Linked DNA regions of Rattus norvegicus. The protein of the gene in region 1 interacts with the protein of each later gene in a biochemical or structural test. Links are inferred from orthologs where the notes say so. Each region holds a gene or a part of one and is shown on either strand. Other genes may lie near its edges.

Region 1 (3,814 bases):
TACAGTTCTATGCCACCATGCCTGGCTTAAAAGACATTCAATATTACTGCTGCTCTTTTCTTGAGACAAGATCTCACTATGTAGGTCCTGAAACTCACCATGAAGAACACCATGGCTTTTAACTCACAGAGACCCACCTGCCTCTGTCTCTGGAGTGCAGTGATTAAAGACATATGCCGCCAAACCCAGCTTTTTTTTTTTTTTCCCACTTGAGATAAGGTCTCACGTGACACAGGCTGTTCTTGAACTATGCTGCCAAGGATGTCTTGGAACTTCGAGATCCTCCTCGTTCTACAACCCCTAGTGCTGCTGGGATTATAGACACGTATGTGTACTGTGCTCAGCTCATGTGGGCTTCATGCACGTTAGGCAAGCATTCCATGGACGGAGCCAGTTACTATTCTTTTGTGCATGTCTGAGGGTAACTTTCCATTTCATATGCTCAGTAGCTCAGCGACTTTACCCCAGGGGTCTCCAAATACTTTCAAGGAAGCAGCTGTAGACATGGAGATGTGACATCCCAGCTCCCCAGGGCTGTGAGCTGCCACCCAGCAGCTTGTGCAAGCAAAGGGACATTTGTTCTTTGAAGTCGTGGCTTTCATGTTAAGCGTGTCTACACATTTTCTGTTCTGCTCTGTAGTCTATTTTAACACAAAACATTTGAAGGTTTCCTACCGACTACAGTTTTGGCTTTAATTTTTTCAAAGTCTGAGCCTAATCACAACTCAGCTTGAAAAGTCCCCTCCAGAGTCTCCAATGTTATTTAAAAATCTTCCCCGTGACCAGGTATAGTGGTCCACATAGGCAATCCCAGCAGTCAGGAAGCCAAGACTAGAGGATTGCATTTGAGCTTGAAGTCAGCCTGAGGTGTATAGCGAATTTCAGGTAAGCTTTGGACACACAGTGAGACTTGGTCTCAAAAAACACCAAGTAAAATTAACTTAATAAGTATCCTGAGTGTTTGAAGGGTAAGAGCTCAGGACAGGGTGGTTCTCAGCAGGGAGGGACCTGTGCCACTGTTCTGGGAAAGGATGAAGCCTTAACAGAACAGGGCCAACCACTGGGTCATGCTGGGAGGTGGCTTGGAAGGAGATACAGTGAGAGATGGGCAGGAGACTGTAAGTGAAGCACAGGCATGCCCATTCTGTGCTGAGAAGGGTTCCACCAGCTCGACAAATTGAGGTACTCAGAGTAGCTATTCTCTCCCATTCTGTACAAGACTTGTGGACTCAAGGCTAGGAGAAGTCACAGAACCCTGCCAGTCGCCCAAACGAGACACAGGGTGGTACGCGCCTGTAGAATGCATGTGTTTCCGTGATAGCTCGGTAGAGCCCACTGGCAGCTCGGGTGCTGATCATTTTAAACAGGAGCACGATGCTGTTACCGGACTCCTTGGTGACGGTCAAGTAGACATTCTTTCCTGACTGGGTGGCCATCTGCACCACAGGATAAGCTATCCTGAAAGGCAGGAGGAGAAAAATGAGCAAGTTTGGAAGGGAGAGCTCAGCATGGTGCTGACACCTTTAGTTAGGTAGCCCATGACCAGGTGGGGAGCCAGACACTCAGCCTGGGGAGTTCTGTCATGAGGCCAACTACTTATGCTAAGCAGGACCAGCAGCTGTGGGGTGGAAACAAGTGCTGGAGTAACCGTGTGTGTGTGTGTGTGTGTGTGTGTGTGTGTGTGTGTGTGTATGTGTGTGTGTGTGTGCGCGCGTGTGCATGTGCATACACACATGTGTGCATGTATATGTGTGCATGTATGTCTGTGCATATACATGTGTGCATGTATGCAGAAGCAGACGGGTATTTATGGACTGAGCAGCTACTGAAATATAGTCATAGTCATTCTGGCACTCTAGTGGACTTAAGAGTACTTTTGTTTTGGTTCTTTTTTTCGGAGCTGGGGACCGAACCCAGGGCCTTGCGCAGACTTAAGAGTACTTAAGAAATAATTAGTTAGGACTTGAATGCAATTAATTGAACAAGTTAGAAAATGAATCACTTTATTCATAGAGGTTGTCCGGTGAATTTCTGTCCATTTTCTATTTTCAGCAAAAGCAAAGAGTAGACATACATGCTTGGGATTGTATGAATGTGTGTATGCATATATGCAGTATTCATGAATGTATATTGAAGACTTGAGTTACCTGTTAATAGGGCTAAAGTCCTCTTTACAAATTGAGATGCCTTCAGGTCCGACCCCAATGAGGAGTTTCTGTCCTTCGCTGTCCCTCACGGCATGCCACTCTATGCCGTAGTTCTCCATTGCTGACACAATCTGCAGAACTTGGTATTCTGCAGAAGCCTGGCTGATGCCCTCCAGCTCCTTATGCTTCCCAACAATGCTGTGGGGCACCCAACAGTACATGATTAGACAGATCAATTTATGCATTCCATAAAGCTTGGAATTTTCACAAGTGAATTATAAGGATCTGGTCATTTAGGAATCACAAAAGCACCAAATGGCATTTTACTATTTCCTTTACTAATCAAATTTACTGTAAAATACTTCCAAGACATGGCTTGGGATCTCAACAATGGGGCCAGTAAGATTGCTCAATGGGTAAGGGTGCTTGCTTCAAGCTTGAATTTGATCTCTGGGACACACAGGGTAGAAGGAAAGAGCTCACTCCCACCAGCTGTCTTACACACACACACACACACACACACACACACACACACACACTTTTAAAAAGATCTCAAGAAGTATTGAGAAGTCATTTGAGAATACTGAAAGAATTATGGAAAATCTCTAAACATACACATAAGACAAACATGTAGGCCAGATCACCTCATATGTTTATCTATATAGACTTCACAAGCTTCCTGATTGGCAAGCGCCACAGGAACTGATTAGATTACCTGCAACTGAAGAAAACATAGCTCTGTATTCTGTGCTGTGGCAGGGGCTGTCTCTCCTGCGGTCTTTGGTGATCTGGCCTCCCAGTGTAACCTTCCCTTGAGTGTGCTCTGAATTAATGACTGGATTCCAGTGAACAAAAATGGTGGAAGACCTGGCACGAAGCTCACTTCTGGGGTTGAGTCATGGGGGTCTGATTTCTTTCCTGGCTCTTGTCTCTTCCTCTTGGATCATTCACCAGCTACCACCATGAAAGAGCCCTGAGGTCAGGTGGCACAAGGAGGAGGCTGGCAAGAAGGCATCTGAGCCCGGAGGCCTCCCTAGTTGGGATTTTAGTTGCCCTGCCCAAGCACCATCAGATAATGCCTGTTGTTTAAATAGGGTAACTGAGCCAGCTGCCTAAATTAGGCCGCCTGCTGTAAGTCTTGCCTGGATGAGGCAAACACCAATAAACATGCTAGACTTTTATTGTAGGAGATTTGCATATTTAAAAGGTCAGGCACTTTGGAGACCCTTGTTACTTATGGCATTTCATAAAAGGGCATTTATCTGTGTGGGCAGTTTTGTGTTGGTAAGTTTCTCAAGTAAAAGGCACATGAATCTTCTGGAAATGACTGGATAAACCTGGTGATGGCCCGGGCTCTGCCTCCCGAAGTCCATCACGACAGCACGGGGGCCAGTTTCCTGATTCCTATCAAGCTGGTGGGTGTGAACAAGCATGCTCCTCCGGCGGCCTCACCTGTTCAATGTGGAGCTGGAGAGCTCTTTCTCACACAGGTCCTCATAGCTGTATTGGGCAGTGTTCTGGTTGTAGTCTCCGAATTTGGTCTGGGCCAGGAGGGCACTAAGTTCCACTGCCTGCTCTGGGGAACACTGGAGGTGGCCTGCCAAGAGGGACTCTTTAATGTGCAAGAAAAAGATATGCCTGCAAGAGAAGGAGAGAACGGTTGAGGC
Region 2 (4,572 bases), on another chromosome or scaffold:
GGAAAGCAGCAAGATTGTTGCAAAGGTTCCAACTGCCAGATTCCCCTTATCCAAACTGTGCAAACAGTGGGCCAGAAGCAAAGCCTAAGGGACCCAGGTGCAGTGACTGCCCTTGGTAATAGATCCTGGGTAACTCATCCTCTACACAAGAGCTCTACCCAGACTCTCAGCTCAGCCAGCTAGGGAAATGAAGTCCTGGACAGTCACAGGGTACCGAGATCCAGACAGTTCAAGCATCCAGCTGCTTGACAAACAGTGGCTGGGTGGACCAGCTTGTAGAGTCTCCATGGGCCAATCAAACCAGTGTGGAGGAAGCTGATCTACTGGCTTCATTCCTGATCACATCTGAGAAGTATCTGTCTTCCATACATTCTATCTGGAGTTTCATTTTATTTTTTAAAAAATTTGCTTAAAACAGCATGTTTTATAAAATAAAAAATATTTTTATCTCATTAGAAAACCGCTAGTGTGGGATTCTTTGGCTTCTGTCTTCCTTTCTTTTTTTTTTTTTTTTTTTTTCTTTTTTCTTTTTTTCGGAGCTGGGGACCGAACCCAGGGCCTTGCGCTTGCTAGGCAAGTGCTCTACCACTGAGCTAAATCCCCAACCCCCTGTCTTCCTTTCTTTAAATTCACCAAACAAGGAAAAAATGAACTGTTATATCCAGACTTAGAAATGAAGGTTCTGGGCTGGAGAGATGGCTCAGTGGTTAAGAGCACTGCTCTTCCAGAGGTCCTGAGTTCAATTCCCAGCAACCACATGGTGGCTCACAACCATCTGTAATGGGATCTGATGCCCTCTTCTGGTGTGCCTGAAGACAGTGACAGTGTGCTCACATACATATATAAATAAATCTTAAAAAAAAAAAAAAAGAAAAAAGAAATGAAGGTTCTGCAGTCCCAAGATGAATGGATCCAGGAGGATCCCCTGGACAGTGTTCGGTATTTGCTGTAGTCGCCTAGCACCCTAAATACGTAAAGCGATCACAAATCCTAGTTTATCTTAAGACCTGTGGAGATAGGCATGGTATCAGCCTATTATCCTAACAGCTGAACAGCTGAGAAACACAATTCCCATTCAGCCAGAGGCGGGCATATGAGTTCAAGGAACCCTGGGCTACATAGCAAGACACTGCTTCACTCATGAGAGTACCAGCGCTGTCCTGGGAACCAGAGGGGAACTGCCCTATTCACAGCCTGAGAGCTAATAATACTCAACTCAACATAGCACACACACCCATCCTCAGAGGATAAATTCGAGAAATATCCAAGAACCTGCCTGAAAACGCAGATAATACCAAAAATGATTTTTCCTAATATATACCTAATGCCGATAATTTACTAATTTGGCACAAGAAGGAAGTAACTGGTTTTTTTGTTTGTTTGTGTTTGTTTTTTTAAAGAAAAAGACCTGTAGCTACTGTCAGAGTGTAGCTACTGCAATGCTTCCTGGGAAATGTAGTTTGCTGTGTCACACGAGCTTTGTGCATTGAAAGCTAGTTTTCTCTACAACTACTAATCGCATCTGCTTGCAAGTCCTAGCCTACCTGGACTGATGCAGTATCCCCCATGCATCACTTGAGTTCGATCCTCACAGTAGGCTAAGCTACCTTTGTTCTTTGGGTGGTCACGTGAACCGACTCGCCACGCAAGTCTGGGTCCTCAAGCCTTTCAAGGGGTCCTCGCTGCCTCGGAGGCGCCCCTAAAGCTGCCTGCTCGCGCGAGAGTTTGGAGGGGCTGGCTTAGGGTCATTTTCGTGGAGGCTCGCACGGGACCTTCAGATCTCCGCTTAGGTTCCTGGTTAGGTACGGGGTGCTGGGCCAGGCGGTCACTGGCCACCCTGAACCTGGCGAGCGCCGGAGCGCTCTGGAGAAGCCCGGACAGCCCCGTTCTTTCCAGCCAGCTGCTAGGGTTGGGAGCCAAAGTGAGAGTCCGGCTGCTTTCCAGTGCCTGGGCCACGGCGGCGGCCGTGGGAGCAGAGGTGGGACAGATGCGAGCGTCAGAGGCTGTGGGCGCACTGAGGTTGGGAATGGACCCGAGCAAAGCAATGGCGGAGTCCTTACAAAAGGGTCTGGTCTGTCTGCACGGGAACTACTTACATTCTGGAGATAGGGATTCTGGAACCTTTAGTGCTAGGTCCACATAGGCCCTGGTTATGGAGTGTCTTCGCTGACTGGCTTCGTGGCCTGACTAATGGCTCCTTGCTGGCAGCCCCTTTGTGCCGGTCATCCTCGCGTAATCAATATCCTCCATCTCAAAACTACTGCATAGCTCTGTGAGCCCTCAGTGTCCAGTGCTAATGTATCAACATCCAGGCCTTCACCTGTGGAGGACATAGTTTCTGGAGCTGAATCCCGGTTCTGAGCTCCTATCCCCACATCCCGAACCCTGGTCCCTCGGTGTTTGTAACGTGGTCTTCTCCTGGATAATAGAGTCAATCATACCGAGGCCTTTGAAGGCCTTGGGATGAAGGGTAGTAGCAGTCATGGGGAAAATGAATGGATCGCTCTCCTCACACCTGTGCTTTATTTTCACACAAATCCAGGTGGAGCGACCCTGTCCCGCTAAAGATGAAAGGCTGGGGTTGGCTGGCCCTACTTTTGGGGGTCCTGCTGGGAACTACCTGGGCTCGAAGGAGCCAGGATCTACACTGTGGAGGTAAAAGCACAAATACCAGTGAAGAAGTGGGAGGAAGCCGACCCTTGGGAGTCATTAGATCCAAAGCTTGGAACAAAGATGGATAGAAACCCTTGGGTTGACCCATCCCCTCACGATCCCCACTCCCTATTCTCTTCCTGGCGCCAGCTTGCAGGGCTCTGGTGGATGAATTAGAGTGGGAAATTGCCCGCGTGGACCCCAAGAAGACCATTCAGATGGGATCCTTCCGAATCAATCCAGATGGCAGCCAGTCAGTTGTGGAGGTAACTTACTATCCCTCAAGTAAAGTAGTCCACAAAGTATGAGCTTGGTTTAGATCGGAAGAGGAGGAAGCAGGAAGTCATTCGATCTGTTATGATAATCTCACCCCTCAGAGGCTGAACCAGAAGGGTAGACCATAGAATTTGGTACGGTCTTCAAAAAGGAAAGAAACAGCCAGGTGTGGTAGAGCATATCGTAAATCCCAGCACTAGGGAGGCCGAGGCAGGCCAATCTTGAGTTTGAAGCCAGCTTGGCTTACAGAGAGAGTTCCAAGACAGCCAGGGCTGTTATAGAGAGAAGCCCTATCTGGAAAAACCAACCAACCAACAAACAAAACAAAACAAAACAAAACAAAGGAGCCAGAACATTGTGTATCCGAAGGATTGGGCTCTAAGCCAGTTACAGTATTTGCATGCCTGTAGTCCTAATACTGGGAAACAGAGACAAGATGGTCAGGAGTTCAAGGCCAGCCTGGACTACTTGTTGAGACCCTGCCTCACAATCAACAGAGCAGTTGGGCTCTGCCTGTCTGGAAGAGCCTGGACAGTTATAACCACATACTTCTTGGCCCAAGCCTCAAGTAATTGTTTCTGCTGTAAAAATTAGGCATTGATTAGTCCATTTCCCCCACATCCCCAGTTCACATGACCCTTGTTTCATTCACTATAGCAGTATTGTATATACACATTCATTTAAAAAAGGATAAGAGGGCTGGAGGGACTGCTCTTCCAGAGGTCCTGGAGTTCAATTTCCAGCAACCACATGGTGGCTCACAACCATGTGTAATGGGATCTGATGCTCTCTTCTGGTGTGTCTGAAGACAGCTACAGTGTGCTCATATAAAGTAAATCTTAAAAAAAAAAAAAAAAAAAAAAAAAAAAAAAAAAAAAAAAAAAGCTTAAAAAAAGCAAAAGGTTTTGTCCAGCTGGAAATGTAGCTCAGTTGATAGAGTGCTAGCCTAGCAGGCACAGGACTGTGGCTTTGGTCCTTGGCATCCCATAAATGCAGCATACTAGTGCACACCTGGAATCCCTGCTTGCACAGTCTTCCTTGGCGGGAGAGAGACGGCTCAGTGATTAGGAGCACACGCTGCTCTTCCAGAGGACTTGGTTCAGATTCCAGTACCCATGTAGTGGCTCATAGCTCCTTCTGGGTAATCTAACATTCTCTTGCAGGGTCTATGGCCACCAGGCAAGCAATAAATAAATAATTTTATTAAAAGTCTTTGTATTCAAGAAATTTATATTTGCTAGAAGCATAAATTAAAGCTATACCTAGTAAGTAATATGCAAGGAAATTTATTTTTTTAATGATTTATTTTATTTCATGTACATGAGTACATAGTTGCTGTCTTCAGACACACCAGAGGAGGGCATCATGTCTCATTACAGACGGTTGTGAGCCACCATGTGGTCAGGAGCTTTGGAAGAGCAGTCCGTGCTCTTAACTGCTGAGCCGTCTCTCCAGCCAAGAAAGTTTAATTAATGATTTATTTTACTTTATGTGGATTGGTGTTTTGCTAGAATGCATGTCTTTGTGAGGGTGCCAGATCCCTCTGAACTGGAGTTAAAAACAATGGTGAGCCGCCATGTGTGAACCCTGGAATAGTGGCTAGTGTTCCTAAACACTGAGACATCTCTCCAGTCCCTTCAAGGA

The links.
Region 2: the proteins of Mylip (region 1) and Cnpy2 form a complex in vitro, tested with the Homo sapiens proteins (2 studies listed by BioGRID). The link is inferred for Rattus norvegicus from reciprocal best matches to the Homo sapiens genes MYLIP and CNPY2.

The regions. Positions count from the first base shown.
Region 1 is NC_086035.1:19,497,397-19,501,210, forward strand, and holds part of Mylip (E3 ubiquitin-protein ligase MYLIP), read right to left. Parts: intron 3,786-3,814; coding exon 3,600-3,785; intron 3,594-3,599; exon of another isoform or gene 2,863-3,593; intron 2,346-2,862; coding exon 2,148-2,345; intron 1,459-2,147; coding exon 1,294-1,458; intron 1-1,293. UniProt on the Homo sapiens protein: E3 ubiquitin-protein ligase that mediates ubiquitination and subsequent proteasomal degradation of myosin regulatory light chain (MRLC), LDLR, VLDLR and LRP8. Activity depends on E2 enzymes of the UBE2D family.
Region 2 is NC_086025.1:1,331,793-1,336,364, forward strand, and holds the start of Cnpy2 (protein canopy homolog 2 precursor), read left to right. Parts: upstream 1-1,683; 5' UTR 1,684-1,978; intron 1,979-2,542; 5' UTR 2,543-2,567; coding exon 2,568-2,655; intron 2,656-2,802; coding exon 2,803-2,918; intron 2,919-4,572. UniProt on the Homo sapiens protein: Positive regulator of neurite outgrowth by stabilizing myosin regulatory light chain (MRLC). It prevents MIR-mediated MRLC ubiquitination and its subsequent proteasomal degradation.